2 linked regions of the Callithrix jacchus genome follow. The protein of the gene in region 1 purifies or fractionates together with the protein of each later gene. This does not show direct contact. Links are inferred from orthologs where the notes say so. Each region holds a gene or a part of one and is shown in the gene's direction. Other genes may lie near its edges.

Region 1 (10,544 bases):
TTTATTCATTTGACCATTGATGGACATGTAGGTTGGTTCCATATCTTTATTACTGTGAATAGTGCTGCAAAATAAACATGGGGTGCAGGTATCTTTTTGATAACTAATTTATTTTCCTTTGAATAAACACCCAGGAATGGGTAATGGTGGATCATATGGTAGTTCTATTTTTAGGTTTTTTTTCAGAAATCTCCAGACTATTTTCCATACTGGCTGTACTAATCTACATTCCTACCAACAGAGTATAAGAATTCCCTTTTCTTCACATTCTCACCAGCATCTGTTTTTTATCTTTTTGATAACAGTCATTCTGGCTGGGATAAGATGGTATCTCACTGTGGTTTTGACTTATATTGTCCTGATGATTAGTGAAATTGAGCATTTTTTCATATACCTTTTGGCTATTCTTGTGTCTTCCTTTGAGAAATGTCTGTTTATGTCCTTTGCTTTTTTTTGAGACGGAGTCTTACTCTGTCTCCCAGGCTGAAGTATACCAGCAGTGGTATACTCCAGGCGCACTGCGACCTCCGCCTCCCAGGTTCAAGGATTATCCTGCCTCAGCCTCCTGAAGCTGGGATTACAGGCACCTGTCACCATGCCCAGCTAATTTGTTTATTTGTTTATATTTTTGGTAGAGGTGGGATTTTGCCATGTTGGCCAGGCTGGTCTCAAACTCCTGGTCTTAGGTAATCCACCCACCACTGCTTCCCAAAGTGCTGGGATTACAGCCAAGAGCCCCTTTGCCTTTGTTTTTTTTTTTTTTTTTTTGACAGAGTCTTACTTGTTGCCCAGGCTAGAGTGCAGTGGTGCAATCTTGGGTCACTGCAACCTCTGCCTCCTGGGTGCAAGACATTCTCCTGCCTCAGTCTCCCAAGTAGCTGGGATTATAGTCACGTGCCACCACGCCCACCTAAGTTTTTTATTTTTTAGTTGAGATAGGGTTTCACCATTTTGGCCAGGCTGGTCTGAAACTCCTGACCTCAAGTGATATGCCCACCTCAGCCTCCCAAAGTGCTAGTATTACAGGCATGAGCCACTGTGCCCGGCCTGCCTATTTTTTTAATGGGATTATTTGTTTTTATACTGTTCAGATTTTTTAGTTCATTATATATTCTAAATATTAATCTTTTGTCAGATAGTTTGCAGATATTCCCTGCCATTCAACAAGTTGTCTCTTCACTTTGTTGATTGTTTCCCTTACTCTGAAGAAGCTTTTTACTTTAATGTAATCCCATTTGTCTATTAGTGCTTTTGCTACCTGTGCTTTTCATGTTTTAGCTGTAAAGCATTGCCTATGTCCTGAAGTATTTCCCTAATATTTTATTGTAGTTATTTTATAGCTTTAGGTGTTACATTTTAGTCTTTAATCCATCTTAAGTTGATTTGTGTATGTGGTAAGATACAGGGGTCCAATTTTATTCTTCTGAATATGAATATCCAAAATTCCTAGCACAATTTATTAAAGAGATTATTCTTCCCACAGTTTAAGGATAATCTTGATGTCTCTCCAAAATCAGTTGGCTGTAAATGCATGTATTTATTTCTGGATGCTCTCTAATGTTCCTTTGGTATGTGTGTTTGTTTTTATACCAATACCCTGCTGTAGGTATAGCCTTATATTTATTTATATTTTGAAGTGAGATAGTCTGATGCCTCCAATTCTGTTCTTCTTGCTCAGGATTGCTTTTGCAATTCAGACTGTTTTTTAGTTTGATGTGAATTTTAGAATTTTTCTTTTTTTGTGAAAAAGGACACTGATATTTTGATAGACATTGCATTGAATTTGTAGATTGCTTTGTGTAGTATGGTCATTTTAATGTTAATTGTTCTGTTCCATGACCATGGAATGTCTTTCCATTTGTTTGCATCTTCTTCAATTTCCTTCATCCGAGTTTTATAGTTTTCTTTGAGGAGGTCTTTCATTTCCTTGGTTAAACTTATTCCTGTTTTTTGTTTTTTTTGTAGTATTTGTAAATGGGATTGCTTTCTTGATTTTTTTTTTTTTTTGGCCATTTCATTATTGATGTATAGAAGTGCAACTAAGTTTGGATGTTGATTTTGTATTCTGCAAGTTTATTATCAGCTCTCAACAGTTTTTTGGTGTAGTATCCACACATGAACTGTTGTCTGTCTATGATGAGATAAAGGCAATATGAGAATAAATATTTAGGAAGTTTTATGAAACGTTCATGGAGTAGTGTCTGTTAAATCTAATAAACAATTTGGCCTTGTATTTTGCATACCTTTTTCTTAAATTTAATTTTCCTAGTACAGTTACTTCTTAGTATCTTCAGGTTATTGGTTTCAGGACCCCCAACAATAATAGCAAAATCTAAGGATGCTCAAGTCCCTTATATAAAATGGCACAGTATCCACAAATAACCTATGTATATCCACCTATATACTTTAAATTGACTCTAGATTACTTATAACATTGAACACAATGTAAATGTTATATTGTTACACTGTATTGTTTTCTATTTGTATTATTTTTATTGTTAATTTTTACAATTAAAAAAAAATTTTCACTCTGTGGTTGGTTGAATCTCAGGACATGGAAGCCATGGCTATAAAGGGCCGACTGTGATTAATTTTTCTTATCTTTTAAAAAGGTATTGGTTGGTGATGGTTTAGAAATTAAAAACAAAACACTGTTCCTTCCTGCAGATAGTGTAAGAAAAAGCCCAGACTACAAATTGAAAATTAATAACTTTTGGTAAGGTTTCGAGTTAACCATTTTTTTCATTTTTCTTTTCACTTACAGTTCATTAATTAATTAGAGTTCACTAATTAATTTTCAGCTGATATTCTTTGCTTGTGTTTTCATTCTGAGAAGTTACCATTTTGCCAGCCAGGTTAGAAGTAAAGCAGTAAGTTCAGTGGAAAAACGAGTAATAATAGATCTAATTACTGAGACCATACTGTACAACTGACTGTATACAGGAAAACAATCTATTATATGGGTATTTTTATTCGTATTTTAGAGACAAGAAACAACTTAACCACAAGCATACAGCAAATGTAGTGACAGAACCAGGATTCTAACACAGGTTGTCTGGTTCCAATGTCTCTACATTTTTAAGTACACTGTTCTTTATTAATCACTAGGTAGAACCATACACACATTGTTACATCAGGCAGAAGGTTCTGAGGGTCCTGCAGGGCATGGTGGCTCAAGCCTGTAATCCCAGCACTTTGGGAGGCTGAGGCGGGTGGATCACGAGGTCAAGAGATCGAGACCATCCTGGTCAACATGGTGAAACCCATCTCTACTAAAAATACAAAAAATTAGCTGGGCACGGTGCGCATGCCTGTAATCCCAGCTACTTGGGAGGCTGAGGCAAGAGAATTGCCTGAACCCAGGAGGCGGAGGTTGCGGTGAGCCGAGATTGCGCCATTGCACCCAGCCTGGGTAACAAGAGCAAAACTCCGTCTCAAAAAAAAAAAAAAAAAAAAAAAAAAAAAGAAGGTTCTGAGGGTTCTATTAACACAATGCTAGGAATGAACTGGGTAGAACAAAGTACAGGGGTCTCCCATTCAAGGGTTCATCAGTCTTCACCATACTTAAGAAATCTAAGTAGCTGACAGTGAGTCAGCATTTTGGAAGGCAGGTAGAGATGGTGAAGAAATAAGGAAATTCTTCTACGAGTCATTACAGATATTTAAGTTTGTTAAAAAATGTTTCTATCGACTCCCTTTGCCTACAGAGTACAGTTAACGTCTCTTAAAAATTATGGAAATAAAAACAATCAGTGGCTGTCAGTCCTTGCCAAACTGAAAAAAGGAACAGAACGGCTAAGCCTTTTGTGCTTCAACACATACTCATTCATCAGTAACTACTCTGGCTTACACTGAGCATAACTAAGCTAGGTTGTTCTTCTGGGGAATGTACTTGCAAGTTAACACTGCACTGCAACTATAAGGTTTCTTAAAAGACATCAGTCGTACAATGTAAATTAAATCTAATTTAAATTAATATAATTTTATTTTTCCTAGCAAGGAAATTTTTTCTCTTAAGGATCATCTGATTTTTTTAAAAAAGGAATAATCTTTGCATAATTTTACACCCCATACATGAGATGATTGGGATTCAATCTCAATCAGAAAAACTCCTTTATGGTGTTCTTATGGCCTTCCTGAGTCCTCTGTAACACAAAAATCCTAGCAGAAGCATTTCCCCTTTACCCAGTTCCTTTTCTCTTATCACGGTTCTATTCCTCCACACTCCCTTACTGCTAGGCAGGGAAATTTGAAAGGGCAGGGAAAAATCGGTAAAAGTTTGCCTTCTACTTGGGTGGAATATCCAATGTCAATGCAGCCTGTAGTATATGTGTATAATTCTTTTTTAATGTTTATCAGTTTCCTCCCCATTCCCTCTTCCATCCCTCTTTCCCTCACTTTTCTCTCATTATCCCGTCCTTATGTTTTCCTTGATCTCCACATTCCTGTCTCAATCATTCTCTGGGCCTCGGGTCTTTTATCTCTTTCCTGAGACCCTCAGGCCTAATGTTCCGTCATTCCTCTTATACCTAGGATTTCTCCACCTTCCCCAAGGGTCTGGTCCCCCATTCCTCCCGCTTCGCCAGACCCTCTCACTCTGGAAGCCCCCACCTCCCTTTCCCCAAGCACAGAGGTCGCGCGGCCGGACACTGCGAGTACTGCGCGTCGGGGAAGGCGTCGGAGCAACGCAGTGGGGGTCTTCCCGCTCCCCCGCAGGCTCCAGGCGCGGTGCACTCTGGGGGAACATGGCCGCTTCCGGTCTCCCTCCCTGGCCGGCGCTGGCTTAACTGCGGCCCCTGCCCGAAGCACTCCGCCCTCTGCTTCTCACGCCCTGCAGCCTCGAAGACCGCTTCAGCCTTCTCCTCTGCTGCCCCTGCCGCGCCATGGAGAAGAGCTCCAGCTGCGAGAGTCTTGGCTCCCAGCCGGCGGCGGCTCGGCCGCCCAGCGTGGACTCCTTGTCCAGGTAACCAGGGCGCCCAGGGCCCCGCCCAGCGGCCGAAGGGGATGGAGAGGGGCCGGGGACCCGCTGGACATTGCCCCAACTCGCGGATTGTGGTTTCTGAAGGCTGCGCCGGAATTCCTTCCCCGGGACTTGGGAATCACTTCTGCCTCCCTCTCTGGGGCGTGGAGGCTGAGGAAAAGGTGGTTAAACTCGCTGCTTGTCTCTAGATTCCTCTACCTTTCATATTCCGATCTCGTATTCTCCCCGATGAAGGTGGCCTCAGTTAATTACTTTCTCCTGTCTGTCGTTCCCTCTCGGTCTTTTTTTTAGACAGCCCCCCCCATTCTTTCCCCCTCATTTCCTGTCTTTCTGTATCACTTTTTCCAAAACCATCCTTCAGTCAATGTCTCTTCTTCCACCCTTTCTTATGTCTTTGGTTTTTGGGTTCTTGCCCAACCCTTTTCTCTCTTTCATGGCTTCACTTTCTTAATTTCTTTCACGCTTATGTCTACACTCTGATTTTCTTCTCGCCTCTCCTTTTGCTTAAATATGTAAATAAAAGTGTCTCCTGTGCTTCTCTTTTCTAAATCTTCCAGCTGAAAGTCAGTATCAAGGAATCTGAGTAGTTTTCATCCCCAGTGATAGGTTTAAGAAAAGAAAATAAGTGGTAGTTTTCTTCCTTCTTGGGCTACTGGTTCTCCAGGTTGTCATTTCTCTTGTAACAGATGGGAATTTTATCCTGAAATTTTGAGGACTTTATGCAGCTTTGCAGAGAGCTTTCATGAATATTAACTAGATGTGTTTTGGATATGCAGTCTTTTTCTTTGATTTTAAAATAATGATTTAAAATTTTACTAAGCAATCATATAAGACCTGTGTTTTGCTTTTTATGCAGCCACGATGCAATCTGGTTCTTTTCCACTGAAAAAAAGTCTAATTGTTATTAGAGAGTTATTTGATAACTGCTGTGTGAAAACACAATTTTCATTTTCTCCTCGAATCAATTGAAGTGGCTCCACTATAATTCATTTTGGATTCTGCTAAATATGGGTAGCAGAATTCCTATTGTTGTTCAGTACCTCATTGGGGAACCTCCGTCTGATCCCATCATTCTAAATCTCTATCTGCATTTATAGGTTCTTGCCCAGTCCTTTTTCAGTCCTTAACAAGCACCCTATAATTGTTAGCTTAAAGTTTTTTTCCTCCCAGGCTGTAAGGTATTATATTTGAGAACAAGGGCCATATCTTAATCATCTTCATATCTCCAGCACTTAACATAGTCTCAGCATGTGATAGATGTAAACTGAATTATCCAGGAAAGGAGGATTTTCCTTTGCAGTTTGGTTATATGTATTGCACGTGTGAATCAAGTATTTTTTGAATTCTGTATTTATTGCTTTGAAATTTAGAAAGCTGAGGGTTAACATGTTCAGTTGTAAAATAATTCATTCAGAAAACAGGTTGGAAAATTCAAATTTTATGGGAAAGTTACAAATGACAGCTATGCCTCAGAGTAGAACAAGAGGCAACCAGTACGCTATCCAAGGCAGAGGAGTTAGAACCACAAGAGGCAGCCTACTGTTAGGAGGTACTGGAAGTTAGGAAGTTCCCATGCTGAAGTCTCTTGCTGAGCTAGCTCTTTGGCCTTTATCATTTAACCTTTTTAGTCTACAGTTTTCTCATCTTTTAAATCAAGAGGCTTGATCTACAAAATCTGTAAGGTCCCTTTGAACTCTAAAATTGTCATTTTTTAATTGTAATGACAATACTTATTAAGATAAACTCATTCTTATTAATTTTAAAGATAATTCCTTTGCAAATAACTTTGGGTTTGGATTTTTGCAAATACACTAAATAAGTGTCTTTTATTATTACAAACGAATAGACCTAAAGGTGCCACTTTTGCATACTTACTTCCTAAAAAAGAAAGCCCAGCAAGTTTAAAGTTTATATATGTATATTCTTCATAAAAAAATTGTTACGTGAATTTGAGAAAATTAAGTATTCCTCGAAAGAATTGTGATTATAGTAGATTAGCCTCAGCCTCTATGGACAAAAAATATAAGTGTGACTCCTATTTTCCATAACATAGAGAATGCCAGCTTTCATTACTCTCCTCTGGAAGGTAGAAAATAACATTTACTTAATGTCAACTGTATGGAAGTTTCCCTGCTAAATTCTATATATCTCTTATTTCATTAATCATCATACCTGTTTGTGGCACTTTCTTTAATCAATAGTATGTAATAGATACATTATAGACACTAGTTAGAAAGCTTAATTTTAAACTGAATTTAGAAAGCTTAATTTTAAACTTAATCTAACACTTCATCGCAGGTGATTCTAATGCATTGCCAGTGTGGACTACCATGGTCTCATAGCTATGTTAAGTGTCTGTCTAGATTAAGTTATTTCTTTTGTTTCATTAGCCTTCGACAAAGCAAAACTATTGCTGTTTGGCCTATAGTGTCTTAGTCTTTGCAGAAATGATGCCCTTAAATTGTAGTTTATTTTTATGCTTGCTGTTTTTATACAGAGGCCTAATTGAGAAACTGCCTTGTGAATTTGTTTTGATGTCTCTGGCAAAATAATAGTTAATTATATTGCTAAATGTGTCACAATGTCTTTCACACATGGATTGACATAAATTTCTGCTGAGTTTAGCTACAAGGAAAATTATTTATGGAAATAATTATGTATGCTCCTTGTTTGTTAGTAAATGGTAACTACGTAACTGCATCTTTCTCTGTAGCTTAGTAAAACATTTTAGTCAAATTTATATCTGAAGGTGATAGTATCTCTAATTTCTTTAAATACTTTTATTATTACATGAACTCAAGTTAAATATTATGTGTTATGTTTAAATGTATTGATTAGATGTCTTAAGCCTTTCTAGGAAGTCGGAAGAATAATGCAGTAATCCATGTGGTTGCCCATTGCTTTTTGAAAATGGCATACTTGGTGGGGCACCGTGGCTCATGCCTGTAATCCCAGCACTTTGGGAGGCCAAAGTGGGAGGATCATTTGAGTCCAGGAGTTTGAGACCAGCCTGGGCAAATTAGTGAGACCCCCATCTCTAAAAAAGAAAAAGTTTTTTAAATAAAAGTATTTTAAAAAATGAAGGCCTGGCACAGTGGCTCATGCCTATAATCCCAGCACTTTGGGAGGCCGAGGCGGGTGGATCACGAGGTCAAGAGATCGAGATCACCCTGGTCAACATGGTGAAACCCCGTCTCTACTAAAAATACAAAAATTAGCTGGGCGTGGTGGCGAGCGCCTATAGTCCCAGCTGCTCTGGAGGCTGAGGCAGGAGAATTGCTTGAACCCAGGAGGTGGAGGCGGAGGTTGCGGTGAGCCGAGATCTCACCATTGCACTCCAGCCTGGGTAACGAGTGAAACTCTGTCTCAAAAAAAAAAAAAAAAAGAAAGAAAGAAAATGACATACTCCATTGAAGTTGGATGAAAGGCCCATTGTGCAATCTGTAGTTCACACTAAACATATGAGTCTTATTAAGTATCTCTAGTCATTTCAGAGTTGCTCTTGTTTCCAGTTATGCCTTCTAGGTCATCATAGGCCTAATGCCTTTGCCCACAAAAGAGAAATTTCATTCCTCATATGATATACAGAGAGCAACTTCCTAATCAGCTGTAGTTATGTCATCCCGCATCTTTACAAAAACAGAAAAGTAATTATCAACTGGGCATGACATGCGCCTGTAACCCTAGCTACTCGGGAGGCTGAGGTACAAGAATCGCTTGAACCTGGGAGGCAGAAGTTGTAGTGAGCTGAGATCATGCTACTGCACTCCAACCTGGGCAACAGAGTGAGGCTCTGTCTCAAAAATAGAGAAAAACAATTGTCTTTGGTGAGTCCTGCTTAATATTGCCATACTTTAGTAAAGTGTTCAGCAACTCTTGTATATCTTGCTGTTGGCCATTCTTCATGCATGTCTATCCCCACAGAAAGAGGGCGTTATGGAAAAATTCACTTCAGCTTCCTGATAATCTACCTATATTGTGTAATTTTATTCTTGTTGGGTGTGCTCTGATTCTTGATATAAGTGTGACTTTATAGAATATAGATAAAATAATACTGTAGGTCAGATGTGGTAAGAGTAGGCCTGAGCCTCAGAACTGTAATGAGTTACACAGCAGACTTTGACATTATATTGGTAATAATTTGCCATCTTAGTCTGGTTTTCCATTTTTCAGTTTATACACTATTATAAAGTGCACTGCTTTAGTAAGCTTCTTTGATTACTTTGTATTGTGCATAATCAAATGGTAAGATATCTAGTGCCAAATAGGTGCCCAGTGAACAACTAAATAAAAGAATGTTGACAGAATGTTCACCACTGGTTTTATTTGTTGTTCCCATTCAAAGGATTAAAAAGGATTTCTTCTGTTGAATTTGGCCTGAACACTTGGAATTTCAGGTCTAAGCTAAAGTTATTTTTCTGGGAGACTCTGGACATCTTGAGCTGATTTTACTGGCTGCATTATCTGTTCTGTGTCCAGTCCTATACATATTGAGGTTATTACATCCTCTGCAACTACCTATTTATTCATCTGCTACTCTTGATTACTTTAGACCCTTTTGCTCTAACTTAGGTTGTTAGTTGTTTTATTTAATGTGTATTCTTGTTATCCTTTATGTATCCTCAGGCTTTAGTAATTCCGGGTACCATACTTGTTTATCCCAGATTATTCTGGTTTTATCAGTTTCTAGTATATAATTTCATTAGCATTGATGAACATCTTATAGTTACATTTAAATTCCATTAAAAAATCAAAGGGAAGGTACACATACTCAAAGGAGTTCTCAATGAATTGCATTTCTAAATTGCATGCCTGCCTTAAAATTATCATCATTTGAAAACAGCAATTCCTGGATTTCTGTTTCTATGGATTTTGAGTATACTTACAGCCTGAAGAAGTAGAAGAGTTTTGTAGATTTCTAAAATGCATTTTGTTGCAAGGTCTTATCTTGAGTTTTAGCTTCAAGGTCACTTAAGAGTGACTTGTTGGAGACCAGGTGAATTGGCTAATGCCTGTAATTCTAGCACTTTGGGAGGCCGAGGCTGGAGGATCGCTTGAGCCCAGGAGTTCCAGACCAGCCTGGGTCACATGACAGAACACTCTCTACAAAAAATAAAAAGTTAGCTGGGCATGGTAGTGCATGCCTGTAGTCCCATAGTCCCAGCTACTTGGGAGGCTGGTGTGAGAGGATCACCTGAACCTGGGGATGTTGAGGCTGCAATGGGTCATGATGGTGCCACTGTACTCTGGCCTGGGCAAGACAGTGAGACCCTGTCTCAAAAAGATAAAAAGTGATATGTTGGTAGGAAAGATGCTTTTATGTTGTTTTTCTAGTAGTGGTGATGGATTTGTGTACAATCACACATTTTTACCCATTTCCTTTGTCATTCTTGGCATGTCTTCTCAGACAGCTGGCAAGATTAGAGGTAGAAATTATAGCTGTAGAACAGAGTAAAGCTACCAGGTTGAACCTATAATCTTGGCATTATTAGTAGCACCTTGCATCAAACATTGACCATGTTAGACTAAAAATGACTTACTTTGGATTCCATTCTTTAAAAAC
Region 2 (10,073 bases), on another chromosome or scaffold:
TGTTTTCCAAGAAGCAAGGAACAGCTCTCATTAGTATGTGTATTTCTGTTTACCTACTAGTAGCTTAGTGCTAGGGAAATACAACTTATAGTGATTGTTTTGAGTTAATTTGAAAGGAGTCAGTATAACATAATAATTAAGAATGTCACCTGCATTGTTTTTAGAGGTGCATGCTAAAGTCTTCAGCGGGGAGGTGACATGTTGTCTGTAAGATTAACAGTTGTCAATTTTAGGTCATGGTACATGTCACTGTACTATTCTACTTTCTGCATGTTTCAAATTTTTTTAAAAGTAGATGAATTTAAAATTAAAAAAAAAAAAAAGGAATAGACTCAGAGTCACATTGCCTTGGTCCAAATCATGGCTCTGTCAGTTTATAAATTGTATAATATTGGGCCAGGCAGTTTTACTGTGCACCTCCATTTCCACACCTGTTGACCGGGAACGGGAGTCCCAGACAGTTGCCTGGTAGGTGAAGTTTAAATTGGAGAATGCCTACCGAGCCCTTAACACAGATCATGGCAAATTGTAAATCCTCAGGCAAAATTTGTGTTTGCTCTTCTAATCTCATATTCCTTTTTGGTACCTAGAATTTACAAGACCATCCACAGGCCACCCTATGAAATTGTTAAAACTGAAGACCTGTCAAGCAACTTCCTATCCCTGCAGGAAATCCAGACTGCATACTCTAAGTTTAAACAGCTGTTTCTGATAGGTGAGAAGAATACTGAGCAAAAACTTTGTGTCAGATGGGGAAAGTCAGGCCATGCAGATCAGGTGAAAGTTGTTGCCTTTTTTCTGAGTTCCTTACCGTGGTATGCAGAGCCCAGGGCTGCAATGTCATGGAGCCAGAGTCTCTGGCTGCCATCACTACACTTCCCTGTCCATCTCTCTCCAGGCTTCCCCCAGCCTCCTTATTGTGGCAGTGATCACACAGCCACCCTTCTCTTCTCCCCTTTCCTCAATATACCAGTTGTCCAGTGGTGAGCATTTTGATTTCTTCCTTTAAAAGTTTTTGAACTATGCAGTATTTATATTTGTTGACTTGCGGTGATTTATAAAGTGAATGATGTTCATTTTCTTCAGTAGACTTTTTCCCCAAAGTGGAAATACTTTGTTTTTCCCATGATTGGGAATATACAGTTTTTAACAATATTAAAAGTTTTATCAGAAATGTACAAGGTAGAAAACGAAACATGCCAGTCCCAGCTACCCCCCTTTTCCTGCCCAGGCTGCCTACTGGTGGTTCATGTTTAACTCTGCCCAGTCACTCATTGATTCTCTTCATTCTGGAATGAGTCTTTATGCTCCGAGACTTGTCATGCCTATAGGTAACTTTTCCTCACTTGGACATTTTTTTTTTTTCTGAGACAGGGTCTCACCTCTGTCATCCAGACTGGAGTGCAGTGGCACGATCACAACCCACTGCAACCTTAAAACTCCCAGGCTCAAGTGATCCTCCCACCTCTGCCTCCCAAGTAGCTGGGATTGCAGGCACACGCCCCCTCACCCGGCTAATTTTTGTATTTTTTTGTAGAGACAGAGTCCCATAATGTTGTCCAGACTGATCTTGAACTCTAAGGCTCAAGTAATCCTCCCACTTTGGCCTTGCAAAGTGCTGGGATTATAGGCGTGAGTCCCTGCCTGGACTAACTTGGACTTTTTAGCCTAGCAAATTCTTAACTATTTTAGGATTTGTTCAGTGACATTTATTGAGTTTCCATTGTACAAGGGGTCTTCAGAAAGTTCATGGAAAATGTATATTATACAAAAATTATGCATGAATTTCAAAACTTTTTTACCCCGAAATAATTCATACTAACTTATAACATGCCTGAGCAGGATCTGGTTTGAAGAGCTAAGAAGGGTAAGATATTAGTTTGAAAATAGCTCCTATCAGAGCAATGCAAATTCTGCTAAAATTGAAGCAAAAACAAATATTGAATTTATGGTGAAGCTTGGATGGAGGAGTGGTAAAATTATTGATGCTTCACAAGAGTTTATGGGGACAATGCCCCAAAGAAATCAGCAGTTTACAAATGGGCAACTCATTTTTAAGAAGGAGATGATGTCAACTATGAAGCCTGCAGTGGCAAACTGTCCACATCGGTTTGCAAGGAAAAAATTAGTCTTTTTTCTGCCTTAATTGAAGAGGACCGACAGCAGAAGAAACAATAGTCAACTCCATAGACATCTCAGATGGTTCAGCTTACACAATTCTGACTGAAGAGTTAAAGTTGAGCAAACCTACTCACCGGGCGCAGTAGCTCATGCCTATAATCCCAGCACTTTGGGAGGCTGAGACAGGCGGATCGCTTGAGTTCAGGAGTTTGAGACCAGCCTGGCCAACATGGTGAAACCTCATCTCTACTAAATATACAAAAATTAGCCAGTCATGGTGGCAGGTGCCTGTAATCACAGCTGCTCCAGGGGGCTGAGGCAGGAGAGTGAATCCGGGAGGCAGGGGTTGCTGTCAGCCAAGATCATGCCATTGCACTTCAGCCTGGGTGACAAGAGTGAAACTCCGTCTCAAAAAATAAATAAAGTGTATGTGCGTGTGTGTATCCTTAAAGGGAACCCTTTTTTTTTTTTCAGTTAATAATGTAAAATAGACTGCAATGACATGGTTAAATTCCCAGGACCCTCAGTTCTTTAGGGGTGAACTAAATGGCTGGTATCATCTCTTATGAGAGTGTCTTAAACTTGATGGAGCTTATGTTGAGAAATAAAGTTTATATTTTTTATTTTCGTCTTTTGATTCCATGTTTTCACATACTTTTAAAGTCCCTTGTATATGCTAACTATGCTGGCATTGGTGATAAAGCGGAATATAACACCAAGAGCTTATACCCTTGCAGGGGAAACAGCAATGTATGACCCTATCTCAAACTAAAACATTACAATATATGTTTACTGTTTAATAAAGGATACTCATTCTAGTTTTATTTCAATCACTCAGGACTTCCAGGGATATCTGCCTTTTCTTGATTTGAGTTTTGCAACTTTTTTTTCATTTTTTAGAAGCAGGGTCTTGCTCTGATAGGGTGTAGTGGCACCATCATAGCTCACTGCAACCTCAAATTCCTGGCCTCCAGTGATCTTCCTGCCTTAGCCTCCCTAAGTGTTGGGGTTATAGGCATGAGCCAAAGCACCCAGCCTGAGTTTGCAACTTTTAAATACATTGGATTTCTGTAAGATTGAAGGTTCTCTGTTTTATGAGGCATGTAGGGGGGAGTCATGTCGTGGTATACTGGGTGTAGGAACTTGTGCATTGAGATTCTAATGAAAATCAAGTCTGACCCTTAGGCTTTCATGGCATCAGGATATAGCAGCCTGGATGTCAACTATTTCTGCCTAAAGCATGTTACTCTCTGTCAACTTACAGAATGAACCATGGCTTTGTGTATGCATTGTAGGAATTTCTTATTTTAGCAGTAAAGATCTCTTTTTGATTACTGCAACCTTCTAGAGACCTACAGCTCAAAAACCATTTCAGCTAAAGTTTTGAAATGGCCCTAAAGTCCTGTGCCTGGATTCTGCAGTTTGAGTCTGGACTGTTAATCTGAATGACACAGTTGAGTAGCAGAGAATTTCTGTGGCAAGTATTTCAGTGAACAATGACCTAATGTCTTTACTCCTTTTTCTTTTTTCAGATAACAGTACTGAATTTTGGGACACAGATATAAAATGGTTTTCTCTGTTAGAAAGTAGCAGCTGGCTTGACATAATCAGGTATTTCAAACCATTGTTTTACTCATGAATTTTACAGTTGTCTAACTCAGGGTAGTAGATCAAACTGACAAATAATGTAATTGTATGATATTTCACAGTTAAATATTCTTAGATACATGTTCTCTTCAGGGCTCAGCTAGATTTTACATTTGCTACTTATTTCTGTGCACATTTGATAGGAATTTATGAACATGCCACCTGGTTACAAGGAGATGTACTCTGCAGACAAGGCATTGAAATACCACAGAAAGAGTGTGACAACCCAGAATTATCACTGAGGCAGCAGTGCTGGCCTCCAGGGAGGAAACTGGGGGTGAGAACAGGAGTGATACTGACTTTTCACTGAATACCTTTTTGAATTTTGTGTCTTATACATATATTACCTGTGTTTTTAAAAAATGATGATTAGGCCAGGCGCAGTGGCTCACACCTGTAATCCCAGCACTTTGGGTGGCTGAGACAGGCAGATCACCTGAGGTCGGGAGTTCAAGACCAGCCTGACCAACATGGAGAAACCTCATCTCTACTGAAAATACAAAAAATTAGCTGGGCATGGTGGTGCATGCCTGTAATCCCACCTACTCAGGAGGCTGCGGCAGGAGGATCACTTAAACCTGGGAGGTGGAGGTTGCGGTGAGCCAAGATCGCACCACTGCGCTCCAGCCTGGGCAACAAGAGTGAAACTCTGTATCAAAGAAAAAAAAAAAAACCCATGATTAGGCCGGCACGGTGGCTCATGCCTGTAATCCCAGCACTTTGGGAGGCCGAGGTGGGTGGATCATGAGGTCAGGAGATCGAGACCATCCTGGCTAACACGGTGAAACCCCGTCTCTACTAAAAATACAAAAGTGGGTGTGGTGGCACATGCCTGTAATCCCACCTACTCGGGGGGCTGAGGCAGGAGAATCACTTGAACCCAGGAGGCAGAAGTTGCAGTGAGCTGAGATTGCGCCACTGCACTCCAGCCTGGGTGACAGAGCAAGACTCCATCTCAAAACAGAAACAAAAACAAAAGCAAAAAAAACATGATTAAATTTTGGTTTGGGAGTTAGGTTGAGAGTTCCAGACAACAGAGTTATATATTGCCTTTCCTAATTTCTATATTGAGTAGCTCTTCTCTGTTCCCATCAAATAGAGGAGATAACAGAGAAGGGTGCAAAACAGAAAAGATGATCAGGATGAGAGAATAGCTCTCACGCTAGGCTACATTTCAGGAGGAAAAGCAGAGCTTCCTACTGCCTCACACACATTCTTTCTCCATTCTGCAGTGAGTATTGTGGAAAGGAGCCGCTGTCCTCCAGACACTTAACTGCTTCAGATATCCTGCTACACGTCTCATAATTTGAATTTATAGTGGCAGACAGTGATAAATGTTATAAAAGCAAAGAACCCTTCTTTGTGTGGGGTGGGCAGAGAAGGGTGAGCATATCTAGCCAGATGAAGAGTCGGGATGTGGGAAGAGAGGGTGGCTGGGCGGCAGGAGAAGATACCTCTGAGGCAGAGGACACCATATGTGAAGGCTCCCAGTTATACATGAGAGACAAGTCAAAGCTGGGAATAGCGGCAACAATCACAAAGGGAATAACGTGTAGAGAGAGACAAAAAGGATTTCTGAGCATATTGGAGCTTTTTAGCCACAGTGATACATTCAGCAGGTCACCTTAAATAAAGCAATCTGGATATGTCTCCCATTCTCCAGATACGGATTTTTATGAGTCTTGCTCACCAACAGACTCAGGCATGAGTTTTTAATAAGAATGTCTAGTTTAGAAATCACCTAGTGCCAGGTGCATTGGCCACACCTGTAATCCCAGCACTTTGGGAGGCCAAGGCGGGCAGATCATCTGAGGCTGGGAGATCAAGACCATCTTGGCTAACATGGTGAAACTCTGCCTCTACTAAAAATACAAAATATTAGCTGGGCGTGGTGGCACATGCCTGTAATCCCAGCTACTTGGGAGGCTGAGGCAGGAGAATAGCTTGAACCCAGGAAGCGAAGTTGAGCCAAGATCACACCATTGTACTCCAGCCTGGGCAACAAGAGCAAAACTTCATCTCAAAAAAAAAGGAAATCAACTAGGAGCATTTTAACATCAATTTTAGGATTCCCTTCTGAAAATTTTCAATTTCTAATGGGCACGAGTTTATCCCAGTATCTAAGTAATGTAAATGGTAATTAGTTTCTTTTCTGGAGGATTTTAGTGTGGGGGAAAAGAAAGTAAGAGAGAAGACTGAAGATCAAGTCACACTATCTCTAAACTACTTACTGCTTATGTTACCAAGCTCATGAACTGATGCCCCTTTTTCTTGTCTCTTTCCTATTTAGACGTTGCCTGAAGAAAGCAATAGAGATTACAGAATGTATGGAAGCACAAAACATGAACGTTCTTCTTTTAGGTAATGCATATAAAACACAAAGGATGATTTCTACTTTTCTTCACTTGAGATTCAGTTTTTGTACATGTAGCCGTATGTATTTGGAAACAAAAGGAGTGAGATCGTGTAGAAATCCTTCTATTCCTTTTTCCCTAACCCTGGAATCCTTTGTCTTGGATTTCAGTTTTAGAGTTTAAAACAAAATTCTTTCACTTCAAACTTGGAAGACCTATTCCAAGAAGGAATTGTTTGGTATCTTTACCAAAGCTCACATTTCTTAATGTTTTGGATTTTGTTTCGTATTAACTGAGCTTGGTTAAAGTTAAAATCTTTTCATAATCCTTCTTATATAAAGAGCTCCATGGATGACTTAGTTGTTATTTTTATATCTTTGTGTTTAGCCACTTTATACAGTTACCATAGAAACTTGGTGGCCTGTGATTTCCTTTTCCTCAGTGGGCTTAACTTGCCGTACATGATGCAGACATTCAGATCAGGTGAAAACAGGTGTACCACCACGCAACGAAGATTGGTGCCTTAACTAGTTAAATCTAAGCTAAAACCTTACCTGCTGTTTAGAAATATTTTGTTTCATATAGCCCCACACTGTTAATTAAATAGATTGTCTTATGCTTGATACCCCCAAGCTTTTCTCATTCTCTGAAACTAACTGTTGGCCCTACATTCTAAGGGCAGCCTGGAACGTGTATCTTTCTATGGCTTCTGTCCATCTGATACTGGCTGACCAACTTAGATTTGAATACATTTATTGAGCCCCTGCCATGTGCTGGGCTCTGTTCTTCTGCCTTCTAGATGTTTACAACCTAATGAGAGAGTTGCCTTAAGTATGCTATTGAAAAAGATCTAACCAGCAATGACAGAACAGAGCATTATTTGAGTATTGAGCAATTTGTGAAAAGGAGGAGAGATAAATATTGGAGGTCTAAGGGATGGAAGGACTGAGGGCCAGAACGCATTTATCACAGAGTTGTATGTAGTGAAATCTGAATCTTTGACTGATGGAACTGAGACGTCCTTCACTCCTAGATGAACTACTGAATTGTCTCATCTCTGAAATCTCTTTTAGCCCCTATCCCATTACCCTTAGGAGTATCATTAACACCCTTCAGATCCAAGAAGAAAATGTTCCTTAAAAATGAAACCTGTGGCTGCGCACAGTGGCTCATGCCTGTAATCCCAAAACTTTGAGAGGCCAAGTCATGCAGATCACTTGGGGCCAGGAGTTCGAGACCAGCCTAGCCAACATGATGAAACCCCATCTCTACTAAATTAGCCAGGCGTGGTGCTGTGTGCCTATAGTTCTGGCTTCTTGGGAGGCTGAGGCACAAGAATTGCTTTAACCTGGGAGGCAGAGGTTGCAGCAAGTCAAGATTGTGCCACTACACTCCAGCCTGGGTGACTGAGTGGGACTCTGTCTCAAAAAAAAAAAAAAAGACAAACTCATTTTGAAAACTGATGACACTAGGAGACAAAAATAAAAATCTATTTGTCTGTAACCCATGTCATCCCATAGCTGAGGCTTGTTTCCTGGAGGGAGAAGTGTAAGCTTGGACCCAAAGTGCTCTGTGATTATAGAAGTCAAAATGAAAGAGTTAACACAGTATGAGCACCTCCTAGTTACAATTCATTCTTAAGTTTCTCTAATGCCAATGATAACTAGCACCATCCTCCTCATGGGCATTTTTTAAAAAACAGCTTGAGTCATACCTACTTTTGTAAAAGGGAAACTGGGGATTTAGACTCTGACTTTTAGGATCTTAAAACTCTAAGGGATGTGTGGTTCTTTTGCTCTAGCTCGTAAATATTAAACAAGTATGTGAGTGGACTTTTCATCAGATGGGTTTGGAAAGTGCATGAAAAGTGGACATATGGAAGTAGACCATGGAGAATTTGTCTCCTATGCTAGGAAGAGAAGCAGGCACCTCTGTGCTCCTCAAACAGGAAAGGACAGAGCCTTAGAGCTTCCTAGACAGGAGATACAGGTACCTCTGTACTCCTCAAACAGGAAAGGATAGAACCTTAGAGTTTCCTAGTCTAGGCAGAGAAGCAGGCATCTCTATGCTCCTCAAACAGGACAGAGCCTTAGAGCTGAAAATAGAAATAAATTTGCTACAGTCAAGAAACATTCAGCATTCTCCAAAGTAGAGTTAGTGGAGGACTTAGGAGTGGAGGAAGGGAGGTCTGAGGTGAGTTTGAGAAGCAGCATAGCTGTGAAGCAGTGAGTTCAGTGACGGAGGCTTCCACACCTCAGGAAGGAAGGGCTTTAGTCTTGGCCTGCGGAAGCTGGCAGGTCATCATTATGTAAATGATTCTGCTTTCTCTGTAGGTATGGCACACGTAGACCCCCACATGCTGAAAGTAGCTTTGCAGTGCTGTATTTATGTATTCAGTATGCAAATACATACTCAGTCCCAGTGTATGCCGGACCCTGTACTAGACATGCTAGAGCAGTTCATCTCAGTCCGAAAACGTAACCCTTTGTCATTGGCCCTTGCATTTAGGGAATAAGAGCATGACCATTAATAGTAGACCTTGGTGTTGGGAATCCTACTCTTAACTGTACAAGTGAGAGCATTCTGAAACTGTCTAACATTTTATGCCCTCCTACCTCTTTGCACTGCTGCTGGGGGCTGGGGCCCCTCCTAGAGGAGAATGCATCCGACCTCTGCTGTCTCATTTCCTCTCTGGTGCAACTGATGATGGACCCCCACTGCAGAACCAGAATTGGTTTCCAGAGCCTCATCCAAAAGGAGTGGGTCATGGGTGGCCACTGTTTCTTGGATCGCTGCAACCATCTCCGCCAGAATGACAAAGAAGAGGTAAGTTCCCTCACTGCAGACTGTTTCTGTTATGGGGAGAACTACGTAGTCTCTTAATACCTGTCTTCAGATGTAGGGTTACTGCTTGCAAAGTGTAAGCCAAACAGGTTTGTTAAGAAAACTGGGATCATTTCATTGTGTGATGACTTTGGATACTTGAAATAATAGTGAAACCTTTCTCAGAGGAAAGAGATATTAATAAGTGTGTTCACAGTTTTCTAAATTGTGTACACCAAAGTGTATACATATTTTATAGTGGGAATAATATTTATTAATAAAACAAATATAAAGTAACTCAGTGAAGAAAACTTCTACCTTTTCTACTAAATTAGTCTTTGCAATGAATAGATATGCAAGGTGCAGGTTTTCTACAGAAAATACAGGTTGAATGTCCCTTATCTGAAAGTCGTGAGACCAGAAGTGTTTCAGATTTCAAATTGTTTTGGATTTTGGAATATTTCCACTCCATTACTGGTTGAGCATCCTTAATCCAAAAATTAGAGGCCAGGCATGGTGGTTTGCACCTGTAATCCTAGCAGTTTGGGAGAACAGGAGTTTGAAACCAGCCTAGGCAACATAGAGAGACCCCGTCTCTACCAAAAAATAAAATAAAATAAACTGGCCATGGTGGTGCCTGACTACAGTCCTAGCTACTAGGGAGAGTGAGGTGAGAGGATTGCTTTAGCCTGGGAGGTCAACACTGCAGTGAGCCATAATTGTGCCACTGCACTCCAGCTGAGTGACAGTGAGACCTTGTCTCAAATGAAGTTATTTTTTTTTTAAGTTTTGAATTTTGGAGCGGAATGATTTTAGATTTTCAGAGTCAGTTTTTTTGTTCTGTTTTGTTTTATTTGAGGCAGAGTCTTGTTCTGTTGCACAGGCTAGAGTGCAGTGGTGCAATCTCAGCTCACTGCAGCCTCCGCCTCCTGGGTTCAAGCTATTCTCCTGGCTCAGCCTCTGGAGTAATTGGCATTACAGGTGTGTGCCATCATGCTCGGCTAGTTTTTTGTATTTTTAGTAGAGATGAGGTTTCGCCATGTTGGCCAGGCTGGTCTTGAACTCCTGACGTGACCCACCCACCCCAGCCTCCCAAAGTGCTGGGATTACAGGTGTGAGCCACCATGC

The links.
Region 2: the proteins of MTMR2 (region 1) and MTMR12 purify together in Homo sapiens (affinity purification with mass spectrometry; 5 studies listed by BioGRID and IntAct, with this or other methods). This does not show direct contact. The link is inferred for Callithrix jacchus from reciprocal best matches to the Homo sapiens genes MTMR2 and MTMR12.

What each region holds. Positions count from the first base shown.
Region 1 is NC_133511.1:44,298,818-44,309,361, forward strand, and holds the start of MTMR2 (phosphatidylinositol-3,5-bisphosphate 3-phosphatase MTMR2), read left to right. Parts: upstream 1-4,730; 5' UTR 4,731-4,883; coding exon 4,884-4,963; exon of another isoform or gene 4,964-5,142; intron 5,143-10,544. UniProt on the Homo sapiens protein: Lipid phosphatase that specifically dephosphorylates the D-3 position of phosphatidylinositol 3-phosphate and phosphatidylinositol 3,5-bisphosphate, generating phosphatidylinositol and phosphatidylinositol 5-phosphate.
Region 2 is NC_133503.1:173,030,420-173,040,492, forward strand, and holds part of MTMR12 (myotubularin-related protein 12), read left to right. Parts: intron 1-590; coding exon 591-715; intron 716-3,653; coding exon 3,654-3,732; intron 3,733-6,058; coding exon 6,059-6,129; intron 6,130-8,775; coding exon 8,776-8,948; intron 8,949-10,073. UniProt on the Homo sapiens protein: Acts as an adapter for the myotubularin-related phosphatases. Regulates phosphatase MTM1 protein stability and possibly its intracellular location. By stabilizing MTM1 protein levels, required for skeletal muscle maintenance but not for myogenesis.